Linked DNA regions of Arabidopsis thaliana. The protein of the gene in region 3 interacts with the protein of the main gene of each other region in a pairwise test. Each region holds a gene or a part of one and is shown on either strand. Other genes may lie near its edges.

The links.
Region 1: the proteins of CaS (region 3) and ERD4 interact in a protein complementation assay, tested with the Arabidopsis thaliana proteins (one large-scale study listed by BioGRID).
Region 2: the proteins of CaS (region 3) and AAP3 interact in a protein complementation assay, tested with the Arabidopsis thaliana proteins (one large-scale study listed by BioGRID).
Region 4: the proteins of CaS (region 3) and RLK902 interact in a protein complementation assay, tested with the Arabidopsis thaliana proteins (one large-scale study listed by BioGRID).

The regions. Positions count from the first base shown.
Region 1 is NC_003070.9:10,713,681-10,719,542, forward strand, and holds ERD4 (Early-responsive to dehydration stress protein (ERD4)), read left to right. Parts: upstream 1-1,801; 5' UTR 1,802-2,211; coding exon 2,212-2,482; intron 2,483-2,853; coding exon 2,854-3,011; intron 3,012-3,105; coding exon 3,106-3,381; intron 3,382-3,478; coding exon 3,479-4,308; intron 4,309-4,391; coding exon 4,392-4,647; intron 4,648-4,735; coding exon 4,736-5,119; 3' UTR 5,120-5,317; downstream 5,318-5,862. Other genes in the region: DLAH (alpha/beta-Hydrolases superfamily protein), read right to left, coding at 5,489-5,862. UniProt on the Arabidopsis thaliana protein: Acts as a hyperosmolarity-gated non-selective cation channel that permeates Ca(2+) ions. Mechanosensitive ion channel that converts mechanical stimuli into a flow of ions: activated in response to membrane stretch. Not activated in response to membrane poke.
Region 2 is NC_003070.9:29,074,345-29,079,103, forward strand, and holds AAP3 (amino acid permease 3), read right to left. Parts: upstream 3,047-4,759; 5' UTR 2,909-3,046; coding exon 2,815-2,908; intron 2,665-2,814; coding exon 2,431-2,664; intron 2,347-2,430; coding exon 2,253-2,346; intron 2,147-2,252; coding exon 1,932-2,146; intron 1,839-1,931; coding exon 1,699-1,838; intron 1,608-1,698; coding exon 1,249-1,607; intron 1,152-1,248; coding exon 857-1,151; 3' UTR 535-856; downstream 1-534. Other genes in the region: AT1G77370 (Glutaredoxin family protein), read left to right, coding at 1-148, 243-298. UniProt on the Arabidopsis thaliana protein: Amino acid-proton symporter. Stereospecific transporter with a broad specificity for GABA, tryptophan and both neutral and basic amino acids. High affinity transport of cationic amino acids.
Region 3 is NC_003076.8:7,735,972-7,740,233, reverse strand, and holds CaS (calcium sensing receptor), read left to right. Parts: upstream 1-1,698; 5' UTR 1,699-1,821; coding exon 1,822-2,037; intron 2,038-2,119; coding exon 2,120-2,365; intron 2,366-2,464; coding exon 2,465-2,657; intron 2,658-2,807; coding exon 2,808-2,949; intron 2,950-3,028; coding exon 3,029-3,160; coding exon of another isoform or gene 3,161-3,164; exon of another isoform or gene 3,165-3,239; coding exon 3,240-3,474; 3' UTR 3,475-3,716; downstream 3,717-4,262. UniProt on the Arabidopsis thaliana protein: Modulates cytoplasmic Ca(2+) concentration and is crucial for proper stomatal regulation in response to elevated levels of external Ca(2+).
Region 4 is NC_003074.8:6,104,162-6,109,243, reverse strand, and holds RLK902 (receptor-like kinase 902), read right to left. Parts: upstream 3,337-5,082; 5' UTR 3,153-3,336; coding exon 1,802-3,152; intron 1,407-1,801; coding exon 814-1,406; 3' UTR 507-813; downstream 1-506. Other genes in the region: AT3G17830 (Molecular chaperone Hsp40/DnaJ family protein), read right to left, coding at 4,741-4,921, 5,019-5,082.

The DNA.
Region 1 (5,862 bases), on a different chromosome or scaffold from region 3:
ACAGAAATATCATTGTAGATAAGACTTTAGGGTCTTCGATCGACATATAATAAAGATAAGGTTTGGGACCCTTTCAAGCTTTTTTTCGGTGTCGGCAATGAAGTTTTACGTCGAGGTGGCATTAACAACTGGACAACGGCTTTTTGTTTTGTTTTGGGGTCTCTTTTGTCTTGTGAATAACAACTTTTATCACATTCGCATAAATTATATATAGATTTATGAATTTATTCTCCCAAATTAATGGTTTGTCTCAGTGGAAATCTACTGTTTTGTCCAGTGACTTGTGTTATCTATTTAATTCAGTTGGATGCCAAAAATAACATATATTTTCGATCTATCTATTGTGGATTTTACCCGATCGACATAAAAGGAATTAAGGACCGGTATTGGACCAATATTACATGACTGGTCATGCATGGAAACACACCAAACAAAACAATAAATTTTCTTTGTATAAAAAAAGAAAACCAATAATTTATTTATCTTCTGATTAAAATATGGCGAAGAGATATACACTAGTATTAAAATTTAAAACAATAGAATGAGGTAAAACATAAATACAGCATGTCGTGGACGTCTTTCGATTGTTTTTAGTTCTTTTTTTTTGGTTTTATATTTCAAAACTTGTTGAAACTGCATAAAAGTTTTTTTTTTGTGTGGATCCCCGTAATTTTTATTCTACACACGTACAAGACAATTTTTTCTTACGTAAACTATACAAACATATAAAGTGCATGTGACTGGTGAATGCTTATAATAAAATACAAATAAAATAATGTGTGATTGGTGGAATATTTAGAGTAAAAGAAGAATGAATATAGAGGAATATTGATATTGGAGGAAATAAAAATATGAATTAGAGTACCCAAATAACTGGTATTCCCTACAAGCAGTCAACAAAACTAAGGAAAAAAAAACCAAGGAAAAAAGAAGAAAAAATTGTTTTGTTTCTGTTGAGTGGACAAGTTATGAGATTAGAATTCAAATATCCGTTCAAGTTAAAGCATGGAATCACGAATGCTCCACATCTCAAAGAAGAAATTGAACTCTTTCTAATCTTAGAATTCAAAGAAACGTAGAGGAGTCTGATGAGATGTGGTTGGTTGCTATTACCTCTGATTGAATTTGATCACATACAAAATAACATTCGATCTTGATGTGTTTCGTAGGCTTTTGTGTAAAATCAGATGCATATATTTGTTTCAAGGGTCGTCTCCACTAGAGTAAAATGACGCATATCATCAAGAATGCTTTTCCACCACATTACTTACGACACAGTCAATATTCAACTTCGACATAAACGAACCTATTTCGCAAATTGTTTATGAGTTATTCAAATTATGTAAATTTAATATACTATCATATATTTTATAAAGATGTCTATTAAGTAAAAGGATGAAAACATATATTATTTGAAAAACCGGATTTCAGATGAAATTACTAGTTTAAATCAAAATATGCTTTGATTTATATAGTAATACAAGTATTTTTTTGAACTTAAATTGTTATATGATTGATATGTCACCATAACCGTAAATATTTGCGAAATAAAGGTAATTTCTTACCATATGTTTTTCCAAATATTAAGAGATACATTAAACATGTCATACTGATCAAAGATCTCTAAGTAGTAGTAAATAAGGTTTACGAGTACTTTTTTGAAACAAACCTAGAAAATAGAAGGGAATAGAAGAAACTTCAAAAGCACAAAAAGAGAAAAATCCAAAGAATAATTTATTATACAATAAAATAAAAACGTATAAAAAAGGGAACAAAATGGGTAAAGAGAGGAGGAGGAGGACCCTGAAGTAGGGTTAAAAAATCCATCTCCTTTGGTGTCTCTATCATCAACACCTGTCGGCCTTGTCACTTAAACACGCTCTTCACTCTCTTCTCACACACCTCTCCTTCTCCTTCTCCCACCATTTAATCAATTCCACAATATTCAATTTTTCCAGTCTCCTCCGTTACACAATTCCACAAAGAGATTAAACAAACAATAGAAAAATATCTTCCTTTCTTTTTCTGTGAATACACCAATAAAGTGACAAAAGAAAAAGCCTGTCTTCTCTCACCTGTAATTACCAGAAGACAATATAAACTGTTACTTTCCTTCTTTTGTTGTACCCCTTTAAAAACGGCTACTTTAGAGAACTTGAGAAGATTTAGAAAGAAACAGAGAGCTTGAGAGATTCCTCTGGCTAAACCCAGATGGAGTTTGGATCTTTTCTTGTGTCCTTAGGGACATCTTTTGTTATCTTCGTCATTCTCATGCTTCTCTTCACCTGGCTTTCTCGCAAATCTGGAAATGCTCCCATTTATTACCCGAATCGGATCCTTAAAGGGCTGGAGCCATGGGAAGGCACCTCCTTGACTCGAAACCCTTTTGCTTGGATGCGTGAAGCTTTGACTTCCTCTGAACAAGATGTCGTTAACTTATCCGGCGTCGATACTGCTGTCCACTTTGTCTTCTTGAGCACTGGTTCGATCTCAATCTCTCTCTGTTCATCTCTGTTCTCTGTTACTTTAGTGGTTCCAATTCAAGGGTTTGGTGGAATTCTGCTGATTTCTGTTGGTTTTGATTTGGGTTTGAGATTTAACCTAATAAAGTTTCGATCTTTAGAGACAATTGGGGGAAAAAACGTTTCAAAATGGAAACTTTTTTGTTTGTAAATTGCTGGCTCTGACTATTTTGTTTGCTATGTTATGTTATCTCTGTTTTACTTTTAGACATTGGTGATTGAAATTAGAATCAGTAGATAGAACTTTTTGAAGTCTATATATACGAGCCAGTGATTTTGGTGAAGGTAAAGTGTTTATGATGTCTTGAAAATTGGCTTTTGTTTGATGCAGTTCTGGGGATATTTGCTTGTTCCAGTCTTCTTCTCCTACCAACTCTACTGCCTCTAGCCGCTACAGACAACAACATAAAGAACACAAAGAATGCGACAGATACCACAAGCAAAGGAACTTTTAGCCAACTTGATAATCTATCAATGGCTAACATCACAGTAAGTAAACACAACAATAACTCCATTCTGCCTATTGATTCATTTTCAGTTTTTGATAGTCTAAAGCAAAATGTGTATCCTTTCATTTGAACAGAAAAAAAGTTCGAGGCTGTGGGCGTTCCTAGGAGCTGTTTACTGGATATCTTTGGTCACATATTTCTTCTTGTGGAAAGCTTATAAGCATGTCTCTTCATTGAGAGCTCAAGCTCTGATGTCTGCTGATGTAAAACCCGAGCAATTCGCTATTCTTGTTAGGGATATGCCTGCACCACCTGACGGGCAGACACAGAAAGAGTTTATTGATTCTTATTTCAGAGAAATATACCCTGAGACATTCTACAGATCGCTTGTCGCAACAGAAAACAGCAAGGTATCTACTTGTTCTGGCCTAAGAAAGTCATATGTTTTAAGGTTTTAGGCATCATAATGTTAATATGTTAACCTTTGCTCTTTGTTGTGTTGTATAGGTTAATAAAATATGGGAAAAATTGGAAGGTTACAAGAAGAAGCTTGCGCGAGCAGAAGCAATATTAGCAGCAACTAATAACCGTCCCACGAACAAAACCGGCTTCTGTGGGCTAGTCGGTAAACAAGTAGACAGCATTGAGTATTACACTGAGCTAATCAACGAGTCTGTAGCCAAACTGGAAACAGAGCAGAAAGCGGTTCTTGCTGAGAAGCAGCAAACCGCAGCAGTGGTTTTCTTCACAACCAGGGTTGCTGCTGCATCAGCAGCTCAGTCTCTGCACTGCCAGATGGTTGATAAATGGACTGTGACCGAAGCTCCTGAGCCACGGCAGCTCCTATGGCAGAATCTCAACATCAAGCTCTTCAGCAGAATAATCCGGCAATACTTCATCTACTTCTTTGTTGCAGTGACCATTCTGTTTTACATGATACCAATCGCGTTCGTCTCTGCCATCACCACTCTTAAGAATCTTCAGAGGATTATTCCGTTCATAAAGCCGGTTGTGGAGATAACCGCCATAAGAACCGTTTTGGAGTCTTTCCTTCCTCAGATTGCGCTCATTGTTTTCTTGGCCATGTTGCCGAAGCTTCTCTTGTTTCTCTCCAAAGCCGAGGGGATTCCTTCACAGAGCCATGCCATTAGGGCTGCTTCAGGGAAGTACTTTTACTTCTCGGTCTTTAATGTCTTCATTGGTGTTACCCTTGCTGGGACTTTGTTCAACACAGTGAAGGATATCGCGAAAAATCCCAAACTCGACATGATTATTAACCTTTTGGCTACTAGCCTCCCTAAGAGCGCAACTTTCTTCCTGACCTACGTTGCTCTCAAGTGAGATTTTGGTCTTCTTGACTTAAATAGCATATGTATTGTTCGTTTGTTCCCTAAATCTTATGTTGATGATTTTTTTTCAGGTTCTTTATCGGTTATGGCCTTGAGCTGTCTCGGATCATACCTTTGATAATCTTCCACCTGAAAAAGAAGTATCTCTGCAAAACCGAAGCGGAGGTCAAAGAAGCTTGGTACCCGGGAGACTTAAGCTATGCGACTAGGGTTCCCGGAGACATGCTCATCCTCACAATCACGTTCTGCTATTCAGTCATTGCTCCTCTTATCCTCATATTCGGCATCACCTACTTTGGTTTAGGCTGGCTAGTCCTCAGGAATCAGGTCAGACTTTCTCTCTATTTACTATACCCATAAACACTTAGGTTATCAAAAATGTGATCTTGAACTGTTTTATTTCGGGGTATGACAGGCGTTGAAAGTGTACGTTCCATCATACGAGAGCTATGGAAGAATGTGGCCGCATATTCACCAGCGCATACTAGCAGCGTTGTTTCTATTCCAAGTGGTAATGTTTGGCTACTTAGGAGCCAAGACATTCTTCTACACGGCCCTTGTGATCCCTCTCATTATCACCTCTCTCATCTTCGGATATGTGTGCCGCCAGAAATTCTACGGAGGGTTCGAACACACAGCTCTCGAGGTAGCTTGCCGTGAGCTGAAGCAGAGTCCAGACCTAGAGGAGATTTTCAGAGCATACATTCCGCATAGCTTGAGCTCTCACAAACCAGAAGAACACGAGTTCAAAGGCGCAATGTCTCGTTATCAAGATTTCAACGCAATAGCAGGCGTTTAAAATTTGAATCCAATCCCCAAATTATCTCATAGATTTGTTTTGCTGGTTTTTTAGAAGCTTTTATTGTTATGTGTGTGAATTTTAGGGTTTGTTTAGGATTCTTCTTTGTATGTGTTCCATGGTTGTTGTAACTTGTAACTTTGTAAGCTACTTTTAAACATCAACTTGATTTTTCATCATTAATATTCTTCTACTCTGATGTTCTGATTTCTTTAGCTGATGCAAATTGTATTTAAAGTAGTTTCAAACATATATACATTATTGTCACAGCTTGATCTATATTCATTGAACTGAAATGTTGTAACCAAAATTCACAAGGACTAAAGATTCAAGAAAACGAATGAATGGAATGGAAAATAAATTTATTTCTCATAAGCTATAAATAGGTTTTGGTCCGGTCGGTAACGGAGAGGGAATGTCTTCAGGTGCACGGACAGGCTTCACCCACCGGCCAGTCTGTTTGTTAAGGATCAGACCCTTATGTGCCACTTGGTACCAAAACTCAGGTATTCTTAGATGATCCAACAACATATCTGTGCTCTTGTTCACCGAAGCAACGTCTCTCCTAGCGTTAACCCTAAACCCAGATTTCTTGCGGTGGAAGCCATCCAAAACATGGAGATACACCTCTAGATTATGAGCCCTCCCTAAGTCTGAATCACGTTTTACGTAAGGCGAACTGAAGACATCGAGTTTAAGCTGCGTTCCGACATGCCTGTAGACCCAATTGAGCCTTGAAGTTA
Region 2 (4,759 bases), on a different chromosome or scaffold from region 3:
ATGAGAATTGAACTGTTTCTTAAAACTTCTGAGAGATTTGTTTTTGCAGAGGACGGAGATCAAATCCAGTATGAGCTTTTAGAATTCGTTGGTCGTCGTACTGTCCCGCAAGTTTTTGTTAACGGCAAGCATATTGGTGGATCAGATGGTATGATGAGCTCACTATCTCCTCCAAGTTTCATTCTTTTGTCCAAATTTCCCTTGTAACTCACAAGCCTTGGCTGTTTATCTTGTTGCTTCAGATCTTGGAGCTGCTTTGGAGAGTGGTCAGTTGCAAAAGCTTCTTGCTGCAAGTTGATATTTGAGGACCTCGAATGTGGAATCTACAGTATGTGATTTACAGGAATTAGAAATCTTTGCTAGTTGTAGACTGAATAAGCGAATTGATATGTATGACTCAGTTATGTAAGTTATGATGGCATTGATAAAGTCTTGATCTTTTGTTACTGCACTGCTCTGGTGATTGTTTCGCTTAAATAATCCATACTTGTGTGCCTTAGTGAATGGTTCATACGGCAAATATCAGATCATGGAAAGAAGAGCAAGTACAAGAACTTGTTATTGAAATTTTACCACAATGGTAATATACTATTATGGTGCTAGTTCATGATTCTGTTGCAGCACATGACTCTGTCATTAATCGAAGATTTACTCATTAGGACTACAATTCTTGCCTTCAGGGTACAGAGAAGATTATAGAGAAGAACTAACAGCATTATTGCTTCTATCTATATAAAAAAAAGCTGATCAAAATTCCCAAATTCATGGTTCTTGGTTCTCTTGACTGTTCTTGATAAATCCATTGTGTTTAAAACTGACTTAGTCATCGCTTTGAATTGGCTACTATTCAAGTTGATCAGTATTCGCTTCGAAATGGCTTGTAGGACTTTAGATCAAGAAGTACTCCAGCTATGGACCCTGCAGCTGCAGCAATGCTAACTACTAGACACCCTAAGCTGAAGACTTGAAGGCAAACCCATCTGGTGCTCCATCTAGGTATCTTCTTCTGCGCGATGTACATTTCCACTGGAAAATACACCGTCAATGGCCAAAACCCTAGTGCCCCGAGCAGACCCACAACGTCGTTGAAAAACGGAAGAAGCATTGAGATAACTGTCGTTATGATCACAAACACTGTCCTCCATATCAACCTGAGTAAGCCATTCCACGCCACACAGAAGCTTTGATTATTACATACACATCATGTTTAAAACTCAGATCCCATTAGTTTAAAGGCAAGATTTGTACCTGAAGACATTCAAGCGGAGAGGCTTGAAACCAGGAATTGGAATTTTGATATCTTTTGCAATGAACTCACTATCAGGGAATTGAATGGAAGCTTGCTTCTCGATGAAAGCAAACAGAGGTTGGCAATAGACTTGGTATGCACCAATAAGGTGAATCACAATGGCTGCATTTGCAATGTCAAGAAGCCAATAAGGATTATAAAACCCGAAACCGGTTAAGAGATTTCCCGGAGACAAGTCTCCAAAGGCTGCATATCCCATACATCCACACAACATATAGAACATAGTCGTTACACTGACGCTCACAAGTGTTGCCTTCTTCATCGTCTTCTCTTCTGATGGTGGTGACTTCACTGTGTCCTGTTTCAGATCCCAGAATAAAAAAAGCTTCATGATGGGACCAGTAATTAATGGCTTTGATCATCAAGACTTGTAAAGAAGGTATAAGTACCTGAATCTCGATGAGGATAATGGAGTAAGAGTAAGCAAAAGCAATGTCTCCAAGAGCTTGAAAGGTCCTCCATATCTTCTGTGTCTCTGTTACTGCTCCTATGCTAATCCCAGTGAGACTTCCCTTCACCTTCCCATTAACTGATGAAACCAAAACACATAAAACCTATTAGTTTTTTACCTATGAAAGTTCTTATTTAAGACCCTAGAAGCTTTATGGTTCAAGAAACGAACCGACAACTTGGGCTATGCCGAGGGCGAGACCGGCTGAGGAATAAGTGAAGGACATAACGGCGGCGAGGATTGAGAGCCACCAAAGTTGATCAAAATCTGGAATCTGAGAGAATAGAATCTGGACTAATCCAAAAGCTATCATGTAAGGATTACTGTTCATGTGACATGGATCTTTCCCTCCACTCTTGTGGAAACAGTTTGATCTCTTTATTGCCCTGTTTTTCAAAAACAAAATTTTGTTTATTTTTTATTATCATCAAAACCTATTTGGTCCATTACCTAACTTCGTAGTTTTAAGAGTTAATTAGTGAGAACACTCACATCATGCTTATAGCTGAAGCAATTGTGTAGCCAATAGCAACACCAAAGATATTAAGATACTGAACAATCCCACATAGCGTCACCTTCACGCCACCTATACAGAACAATGAAAAATGTTAATGCTCTGTTCTGATCTGATCTCCATTGTCCGATTTCTACTTTGAAGTTTTGTATTTACCGAGATTTGATCGGACAGCATCCATATAAGTGTAGTTCCTCTTGCCGGAGATAGGGTCGCCGGAGCGGTAACAAGCAGCAAGAAGAGAAGAAGTGAAATAAGTGACGGCAGAGAAGAGCAACATCACCACCGGTCCGGCGAGCCAACCTAGCTGCGCCGTAGCCCACGCTAGTGACAAAACTCCCGAACCTATCACTGCCGTTATTATGTGTGCACTCGCCGTCCAAACACTCCCTAAAACCCAAAATTTAAAAACTTTCAACTTTCTCGTTTTTTCAACATAACTAAATCAGAGCAGGTTTCGAGTTCAAATTAATATTTTTTTGAATAATTAGAGAACCAAGTCTCAATATGAATTAAAGAGAAAGAGAGAAACATTGTTACCAGTTCTTTTGTTTTTCCCGTCGTCGTCCAAGTACTTGGAGCCGCCGGTTTGTGGCATATCGACGGCGAGAACTGTTTGGTGGTTTTGAACCATCTTTTGTTTGTTTTGCTCTGTTTTTTTGGTTCTTCGTTCAATCTATGAAGTTACATGCAGAGTAAGTGTTTGAAAGAGTTGATCTTTAGAAGGTAAGGGAAATGTTTAATGACTTTGTTAAAGAACTGTCTTGTGGATGAAGATAAACTGAGAGTGGAGTGCAGATTTATATACACAGAAACTGGTAAAAACACTCATTTGAGGCAAACACAGTAAAAGGTAAAAAGTGTATTAAAAAAAATATATCTGTCTTGGTAAAAAGTTGGTAGGACCACTATTACTCAAGTGTTACTATTGAAAAATTTGACTTCATGATTTATAATTTTATATGAATGATTCGATACCAATTGGATAAAAACAAAAGAAAAGAGAAAATATGGGCAATGGAAAATTGGAAGTCCAAGATGATACCATCGTTTTCATTTGGACTTAAAATGTCATTGTTCAGCTTTTTTGAAAGAAAAAAACAAACATTCATGTACGTGTGTGTTTGAAGCTTAGTGTTATTTTCACTTACAACTAGATTTTATTAGAGTATTTTATGAGATTAGAGAAAATAAAATGTTGTTTTAAAAATAATAGGCATTTTGGTTATATCATTTGATTATTTACGTATTTCGCTAATTTTAAATTTTATTAACCGTGGACAAACTAAATTTATTTAGAAAACAGCTTGGTTTTTTCTTGAATATTTCAATGTAAAGTGTTATCGCATTAAGATGTTAAAAGAACATTCATGGAATCATGACATATATATGGAGAAATCTATGCCGACTTTAAATAATGAGTACACGCAATCATGTGTAGATTTCAAAATGATAACTCAAAACCAAAAGGTGATTTTTATAGTATGAGCAATAGTAACGCACATATACTATATCTTACCTAGAATCCGAAAGTATATCACCCCACCATATAAGTTTCTGTAGGTAACTAACTTATGAGGCGTGTAAGCTATATGTTCTTCTCGAAATGAAATATTTTGATTACTTTGCCAACTAAACTCATTTAAACATAAATGACATACACAAACTTGTATTGGCTTGATTCGTGGGAAACCAAATATCCTTTAAGGACTTACGAGAAGATTTGTATTCAGACAAGTCATCATTCAAAGGAAATAGTCTCCAAATATAAAGGGAATTATATTCATAAAAATAGAATCTATATATACATTGTTGCAGTCATTTTGTGAAATAAATCCTGGAGTTGGAATTTATTTACAATGGCTACCATTGGCTTTTAATTATTGTTTTTTTAGCAATAAATTGATTAACAAATAAAAAAACATTCGAAATATATTCCAATCCCATATATCACGCAGATTTTTCCAAAATTTGAAATAGATTTCGACAACTATTTAAAACAAAAAATGTTTGACAACCCAAAAGACAATTGCAATCCCTTAAAATGAGCGAAACGCAACTAAATATATTTCTTATCTATTCACTAAATCTTATGTCTCCAAAATTTGAACTACATTTCGACAACTATTTAAAACAAAATTTTGTTTGACAAACTAAAACACAATTGCAATCCCGTAAAATATTTATTTTAATTATAAATTTAAATTAGCGGGGTACCGCGGTTTATTTTTACAGGACGAGTTTGGTGGAACGGGTTTAGAAGGACGTTACTTAATAACAATTATAAACTATAAAATAAAAATATTTTATAGATAGACATAATTTGTAAAATTTTATATATACTAATTTAAAAAAATAAATTGTCTCCGCGGTGTACCGCGGGTTAAAATCTAGTTCATTCTTTACAATTCCAAAGTTTATAACCGCAAAAATGCATACAAAATGTACCAGTTTTTTTATTTTTTTTTCCATGTTTACATTGAAA
Region 3 (4,262 bases):
TGCAGTTTTACTTTTGGTTTACATGTATGTATCAAGGTTTGTGTTCCATATGGTCTTTCTTCATCTAGCATTTTTGTTTTTGTTTGTTGAGCCACTGAATCCAACTTGTACTTCTTCAGCTTTGCAGATTAGTAGATCGGTTTTTTTCCTGGCTATGTCTTTTGTCACTACAGACCCTCAACGCTAATTTTGTTCCTGAGCATGGCTATGTTGTTATGAGTTCCTGATATGAAATTTGCTGTGATCTCTTGGTTTCTTGATGCAATGTGTGCTTTTGCTTACTTCTCTGGCTCTTTTAAGTATTACCTACATAGACATTGCATAATTCTAAAACCTTTGCTTTTGCATTACTATGTTCATTCTTGGCAAGTGATAAGGAATCCACGTAGAATAGTATAATACAATCAAAAACTTTGATACATTGCGCAATGAGTGCGTGATGATAACCCTTTAATCAGGATCCAAGTGGTGATATTCACTGATTAATAACCTTCTAGAGAGCCATGCTATACTTCTTGTTCTTTTCGTATTACTATTTATGAAACTGGCTGTTCAAGAAGAATCAAATTCACTCCTTAAACTTTCTTGTTGTAAAAGACACTTTTGTTATAAGTCATTGGTCTTCCTGTGTCCTCTCTTTTTTTCCCTCACCTTTGGCAGCACAGAGAAAAGGTGAGGGAATCTTGTGAAGTGAAAGGATTCCTTAGCTCGTGGGTTTTAAAATTCCTTGGAGCAAAACTTCAAATGGTATCATGATTCCATTTTCAAATTAGGTAAGAAAAGGAGAATCTTGTTCTTTTTCAAGATCAAGACTTGTTATCTTTCTTATATTCCTCACACAAGAGGGGCTGTTAAAATATGAGAAAATACTGTTTCTCTACAATGTTCTTATATAGAATTTGTGATGATGGTAGCACTACTAATAATATGATACCACTCTCTAGGCTGATGCTTTAACAAACATGAACTTAATAGCATAGTTTAAATGGTGAGCTTGCTTGTTTTAAGGTCTAGTAATGGTACTACTATACATTTTGTGGAATTATATACTTGTAAATGCTATGGAACTAGTGATCATGTGTGTTTGCTCGTCTTCCTTCAATCATGGGAAAGTTAATAAAGTGAGTCTATAATTTTACTAGTAGACGGTTGACCAAGTGTAGGTAGTTTACTTCACTTGATCAGCATGCTCAAATCTGTTCAAATTTTTAGGAGAGTAAACAGGAACCACAAGAACGGAACCTAAACCAACATCAGTCCAATTTAAGATACTTGGTTTTGTACGGAATGAAGTTTAATAGCAGTTTTCGGTCTTGGTTCATACAAGATGATGTTTATTGGCTTTGATTGGTAACACAATTTGAGGCGCTTGGAGCGGAGGTTGAACCGCTTCTTTGATTACCAATCGAACTGATGGAACTCATTGTTAGAAGAGGCGGCTAAAACAGATAGCTACTTCGTGTACAACCATAAGCATGTTTCAATGTACAGTATTCATTTTTTGTTGCTCTTATTCTGTAGTACACCTCTGATATTACTGCTACAATGAAATTCTTGTACGACATATATCAAAGTATTGGATTGGCAACGAACGGCTAAGCTTTAACACAAAAATGCCACGTAGGATTAGTCTGACCAATAAGAATCCATCTTTCAAATCCCCTTCCTTCAATCTTAACCAGAAAACTCAATTTATTTATAATCTTTAGAAAAAGGTACTTGAAGAAACAGTTTGCAGACAACATTGAAGAGAAGCTCTAAAGATTCTTTGTCTCTTTCTCTGTCGCATTGATTTGTAAAAAAGTGTGGCAGAGAGAAACCATGGCTATGGCGGAAATGGCAACGAAGTCTTCACTATCTGCAAAACTCACTCTTCCTTCTTCTTCTACTAAGAAGACACTGAGTCTGAGACAAGTCTCTGTTTCACTTCCAACATCAACTTCAATCTCTCTGTTATCTCTCTTTGCATCTCCTCCTCATGAAGCTAAAGCTGCTGTTTCCATTCCCAAGGACCAAATCGTCTCCTCTCTCACTGAAGTATATATAATAATCTCACTTTACTTCTTGAAATGACCAAAATGTCTCCTTTTTGTTGATGAGTGTTCTTGTGTCTTAACAGGTGGAGAAAACAATCAACCAAGTTCAAGAAACTGGTTCTAGTGTATTTGATGCAACGCAGCGTGTGTTCCAAGTAGTAGGAGATGCTCTTAAACCAGCTTTGGACACTGCTTTACCCATTGCAAAGCAAGCTGGTGAAGAAGCTATGAAGCTTGCTTCTCCTGCTTTCTCTGAAGCTTCAAAGAAAGCTCAAGAAGCAATGCAGAGCTCTGGTTTTGATTCTGAGCCTGTCTTTAATGCTGCAAAGGTCAGATTTCTTACATTCAAATATGTATGAGAACATAACAATTTAGGTTTTGGGGTTTAGGGTTTGAAGTGGTTTGTCTGTGTTTTGGTTGGGATGTAGACAGTAACAGATGTAGCACAACAGACGTCAAAAGCGATAGAAGATGCTAAACCGATTGCTTCATCGACCATGGATACGATTTCTTCAGCTGACCCTAGTGTCATTGTTGTTGCTGCTGGTGCTGCGTTTCTTGCTTACCTTCTTCTCCCTCCTGTTTTCTCTGCCATCTCTTTTAACTTCCGTGGTTACAAAGGTACCTCAAGACTCCATATAGATCATCTTGAGAACATATATAAGTTTTTGATTTGGTTATTAGTGATCTATTTTGTATCTAGAGTCTAATTCACCATAGCAAAATGCTGACAATTACTCTGTGTTTCTGGTTTGTGTTTTTTTAATAAAGGTGATCTTACGCCGGCTCAAACGCTTGACCTTCTTTGCACCAAGAACTACTTGATGGTGGATATAAGATCAGAGAAAGACAAGGAGAAAGCCGGGATTCCACGGCTCCCTTCGAATGCTAAGAACCGCGTGATCTCCATTCCGTATGTGTCTATCTAACTTTGATAATTCTTTTCATTATTATTATACTCAAAACATTGAACCTGTTCTTGTGATTATCAGATTAGAAGAACTACCAAACAAAGTAAAAGGAATCGTGAGGAACTCTAAACGAGTTGAAGCAGAGATAGCAGCATTAAAGATTTCTTACCTCAAGAAAATCAACAAAGGCTCCAATATCATCATCTTGGACTCGTGAGTTTTGATTATTACTCTTTTACAAGACCTTTTTTGTGAATCTTGCTTAATCTTTATTGGTCTTTTTGGCTCGTAGGTACACGGATTCGGCTAAGATAGTGGCGAAAACGTTAAAGGTTCTCGGGTACAAGAATTGCTATATTGTGACAGATGGATTCTCTGGTGGCAGAGGATGGTTGCAGAGCCGTTTAGGCACTGATTCTTACAACTTCTCGTTTGCACAAGTCTTGTCTCCATCGCGGATTATCCCGGCAGCTTCGAGAAGCTTTGGCACTAGGTCCGGAACCAAGTTCCTTCCTAGCTCCGACTGAAAACAGAGGATATATATAGTTTTACAAGTGTTGTTTAGTATTCCTTTATTTCTCAACTTTGAGAGATCTTTTGATAAGATAAGATTTTCGAATTACTTACTTACTTGTCTTTTACATTGATGATCATATATGGAAAAGATTACATCAAACTGAAGTAGTAGCTAATCATCTAAAAGAAAAAATGTATGATCAAAAACCGGGATGAGTTTGGCCTATAGTGGTAGGAAAAAATTGGGATAAAGACTAAATTCATAATGAGTTATGGACAACTAATTGTAATATCACATAGATGCACAATCATTTTGGACCATCTGGTAGGTGTGTGTGTGTGGCCTAGCCTTATCACTTAGTGGGATTGCCAATAGCTTTTTGCCGAAAATCCATTTTACAAATGGTTGAAGATAATAAAAATTAGACAAGTTTTTTTTTTTGTGGAGTTTAGTTTAGTGCTTTCAATCATGTGAAAACCAAGATATAAATTTTGAAAACTATTATAAATATTGTGCAATAGTTGAAGTATATACAAACTATTTTTAATCAAAATGTTGTCTAATTAATATTAATTGTAACACCGGTCACTCCGAATTGTAACAAAATTGTCTATTTTGCTAACGGATTCTACACCAAATTAAATAAAATTTATATAGACTAACATATATTGCTCTACTGATCCATACAATCTAAATTGATAGTGTATATAGACTGAAATCAATAAATAAAAGACATAAACCAAATAAGATGATGATCAAAAGTCGAAAAGAGAAAGCAAAAAAAAAAGGTGTAAGAGA
Region 4 (5,082 bases), on a different chromosome or scaffold from region 3:
GCCACCAGCGCGGTATTGGTACTTTTCCCATATTTCTATAATCACAAGGACATGAGAGTGGTGAGGTAGCGTTTTGCGTTTTGAGTTAGCAGCGGCAGCAATCGGTCTACCTCAGTAAAGATAAGAGAGCTCGCAACCTACTTAATCTTTAATAATTTTAAATACCATTTAAGACATAACCTCTCAACAATTTTAGATTTATTTAGTTGTCATCAACAAATTTGCCCACAACTTTATCTTGGACTTTTGGCGAACAAGTTCAAACAAGAAATAATCCAAAACATACCAACATGACGTCGTATGAGGTCTTCCCATGTCTACATTTGGATCCAGCCATGTAATCGTGTAACATGTGACTTGATATATCCACTTATACAAAAAGCTGTCATGCCATTGGATTGCCATAAGCAGGCGTAAATGTGAATGTATGATCATAAAGACATTACATTATCACCTGTCGTCTTACTGCAAGTTTCATGTCCGTTAGTCTATGTATTAATATGAATTTAAACTATACTATCTTCTTTTTTTGTCTGCATTGCTTACTATCATATCATAGAGACAAAAAGCTGAAAAACAATATTGAAAATAAAGTTAAAGTTAAAAGCACTAATAATTACAACCACCACGAAACTCCTCATCATCAGTGCCCACACATGAAAGAAACCAAAAAAAAAAAACCAAAATTAAAAACATCTAATTAACGACCCCAACTCTAATTCCCGCCATATTCTTAAAACTAAACACTGAAAACGTCGCCGCTTCAGATCATCGAACAGACTCATGTCTCAAGTCTCCTTTCATCTGATGGTCTTACCCCACCCGATCTGCACCCGATTGGCGCAACTCCTGGATCCTTCTCACCACCTCCACCATAACTGGCCGCTTGTCTGGGTGCTGCTCTGTACAGTCAATGCCCAGCTGCAGCATTTCCGCCATCTCTTCTTCCACCGAGACAACTGTCTCGATACTCATCAGCTCCGAGTCAAAAACCTCATTCCTCCACTCCTCTCTCGCCACTGAATGCACCCACCTCGCCAAATCCATTCCTTCCTCGTTCATCACCGAGTTAGACGGAGCTTTTCCGGTGAGCAACTCTAGCAACACCACACCAAAGCTGTACACGTCCGCTTTCTGTGAGACACGCCTCGGGTCAGTTACTTCTGGCGCACGGTACCCAGTGGCCCGGTTTGGGGTTGTGGATGAGGCGCTTACAAGCTGAGCCAGGCCGAAATCAGACACTCGTGCGTCATGGGAGTTTGTTAAGAGGATATTGGAGGACTTGACGTTTCCGTGAGAGCTCAGTGGGTCTTGTGAGTGAAGATAGTCTAAGCCACGAGCAGCTCCAAGGGCGATGCCTGATCTGACTTCCCAGTTCAATGGAGGCCGGCCTGCACCTTTGTTTCCTGTAACATAGCATGACATTAAGCTCAATACACAAAAAAAACTACTGTCTGAAAGTAGAACACAGGAGGTCTGGATTTTTCTTTGTTCAAAATACAATTCTAAAAGATCAATTATCACAGCTAGTCAAGGAATCCAAGGTTATCTACTGTCCCCACTAATTCATAGACGTCCTGTGTAAGCCATGTGAATGATAAAAACTCTTCACTGATCCTTGTCAATGTGATGCAGTACCAAACTAATCATTTCATGATAGAATCTTTGTCATTTCTTTCTTAACAGTAATGTATATTAACGAATCCATTACTAATTATGCCAAACTTAAGATTCAGCAGAGAACTATTAACAATAAAAATCAAATTTTTCGCTGAGAAAGAAAGAGAGGGGTAGTTCTCACCGTGTAAGAGAGCTGATAAGCTTCCCATAGGCATGAAGTCATAGACAAGCAGCTTCTCGTCTCCACTGTAATAGTACGCTCTCAAGGGCACCAAGTTCTCATGATCCATCGCCCCAACAACCTCAATCTTCTCCTTAAACTCTCTGTCCGCCATCGTTACATCCTTCAGTCTCTTCACAGCCACCAATGTCACCGCGTCAAGCACCGCTTTATAAGCTGTCCCGAACGTTCCTTTCCCCAGAACCTCCGCTGAAGCTCTCAACAGATCCTCAAGATCGAAGACCTTTGTCGCATTCCCAAAAAACACTAACTTCTTCATCCCTGAACTGTTCACTTCCACAGCTTTCACTGCAGACGGAGAGTACTCATTTACATAGCTCCTATTCTCCGGTGCTTCCACGGCCGCTTTCTCGCCAGGAATTTCAACTTCATGGTGCTTGATGGTTGCAAGGTCAATGGCCCTTGTTCTCTCGTTCCCCTTTTTCCTAAAGAGAACCATCAAAATCATAACAATCAGGGACAAACCAACCACACATCCAATCACTATTCCAGCTATAGCTCCACCAGAAAGCTTCTTCCTTTTCTTCTTCTCCTCACTTCCTTCAACAGTTCCGGGAATATTGCCAACAGAAATTGGCTGGCTTGGCACAGTTCCCTCATTAGAGCAGACAACAAGCGGTTTGCCGCAGAGAGAAGTTCCCACAAACGAATCAGAATCAAACTTCTGCAAACTCTTAGGTATAGATCCGTTCAACAAGTTATTAGAAACGTTGAACTGATCCAAAGACAAATCCAAGTCTAAAAGAGAGCCAGAGAGCTTGTTATTCTCCAGGTACAGAGTCTTAAGCCTAGTAAGGTTTTTAAACCCTGACGAGATCTCTCCACTAAATTCATTCTCAGCTAGATTCAACCTAACAAGGTTACTAAGACTAAACAAAACCTCCGGAATCTCACCGGAGAATCTGTTACCCTGCAGGTACAAACGCCGAAGATCGGAGCAGCTTCCGAGATCCAAAGGAAGAGAACCAGTAAGACCATTGAGACGGAGACTAAGCGTCCGGAGCTGAGTTAAATTACCAAAAATACCCTCCGGTATATGACCGGAGAGCGTTTCACCGGGAAGACGAAGAGCAGTAACACGACCACCGTCGCATAAGACGCCGGTCCAGTTGCATGGTGAGGTTTGCTTGACGTCCCAGAGTAATGTACGACCACCGACGGCGGAACGAAAAGAGAGAAGAGCGGATTTGTCGGCGGCGAGATCTCCGATTGACGGAAGAGGAAGAGAAAGGAGAAGAATCGAGAAGAATATGGAGAGATTGGACATTGACGGTGTGAAGAAGAGTCGCATTGTAAGAAACAAAGAGAGAAACCCTAGAAAAAAGCTCTCAGTGAAGAAGCTGTGTGTGTGGTTTACAGAGAAAGAGTGAAGCTAGTCAACACTCTTAACACTCTCTCTTTCTCTTTTTCTCCACTTTTTGTTTTTTTCGAGTTTTGAAATTTTTTCAAATTAAAATCTAAATGTGACAAAAACGACAATTTCTATACAACAGTGACGTATGTCTTTATATGCTTCGACAAAAATATTTGTATTTTTTTTTTTTTAATTTCTATTATTGGTTTTTATGTTTTAACTTATTGATATTATAGAATCTTATGTGAATCATTCGTACCACTAAGCTGTGTTGTCTTATCTAAATTCCAACTGCTAAAGATTATTAACTGGATTACAAAAACTTAGAGTTTAATAATCAATCGGATTAACAAGAAAATTAGCAAGTGGGTGTGTGTGTTTATGGAGAAATGGAATACAAAGGTTTTGATTATGAAATTCCCTGCATCTGAGTAAAGTGGAATCACTCTTCTCAAGATAACACTTAATTCTATGTATTTTTTTTTGTTTTGCTTCTTTAATAATAAAATTGATTTTTTCTTACTATAGTAGTATGATAATGCATGGTTGTAAAAGAAAAGAAAAAAATGAACATGGGTATGCAGAGAAAGGTAGGACCATAAACATGTAAAAAAGCCAACAACAATAATTTAACAGCATTCAAAGTAGGCTCTTTTATTTACAAGTAACGCATTCTCTGTTTTTTTATTGTCTCCACTCTCTGCATATCAACGGCATCAATCTAAAGGGTCCCATTAATCTTACTATCTTACCAATTTTTCTATCCATCGAATAAATTATTTCATGGTCCACAAAGGTAATATTATTGTGATTCATATTTTGGATAATTTACAATAAAAGATGAAAAAAGATTCACGACGGTTACATTGATATGTGGTTGGGCGTTACATTTTAGAAGAAAAGAGTAAAACTATATGAAGTGTAGTAATTTAATGGATCTATTTTCGATCGCACATGTGGATAAACAGTTTGGTAGTTGGAATATTGAGTTGTTTTTAAGCCATTTAACAAAAGGTATACTATTGAGTTGTGTTTTTAACTATCTAGCTGGCTTTACTATTGTTTTACTTTGGAAGATAAAGACGTTAGTCATCATAATGTAAATACTAAGTATAGTAGCTGTGTGTTGAGACCCACTAAGCAATAAAAGACTATACTAATAGATATGGGATTATGGGAAACCTTTTCTTGATTGCCTAAAAAGGTTCCTCTAATGAGAGAGGGACAAACAAAGTAAATAAGAGGACTGAATTGAGTTCAAAGCATAGTTCTGTCACGGTTTAAGCTGGTCTAGCATACATAAACATTTGTTCAAGTAATAACATTCCTTTCGTTGTATATCACAACTAGGCTCTTAACCATATATAAATGATAAAACATACATACAAGATCATATCTCTTCTGCGTGACAAACAATCTCTAGAAACTAGAATTGTATGACCGAGGGCCTTTTAAATCTTGTAAAAAGCTCTCTGTTACTTGAAATTAAACTTCTACCTGTGGGGTTTCAGGGTTTTTGACGAAATTAAGTTTCTTTCTTTTGTTTCAAGCGATTACCCTTCTTCTGTACCAATGCAACAGCCGAGGTTATAACGCACAGAGCCAAGACTGAAAAAGCAATTGAAGTCTCTGACACTTTCATTCTTCGTAATGGTAATGATGGGTTTAAGCTCATAGTCCCAAATTTCGTTCTTGAATCTTCTGGTCTATATAACACGTGACATTAAAAACTATGTATCAGACCAAGACAACAATGTTGTGTCTTTTGATGAACTACTGAGAAAAAGGTTTCTATGAGATTACCTTATGAAATTCTTCATTTTATGCCACAAAGATGGTTCTTTTCTGGGCTCTGAGCCAAAACTCT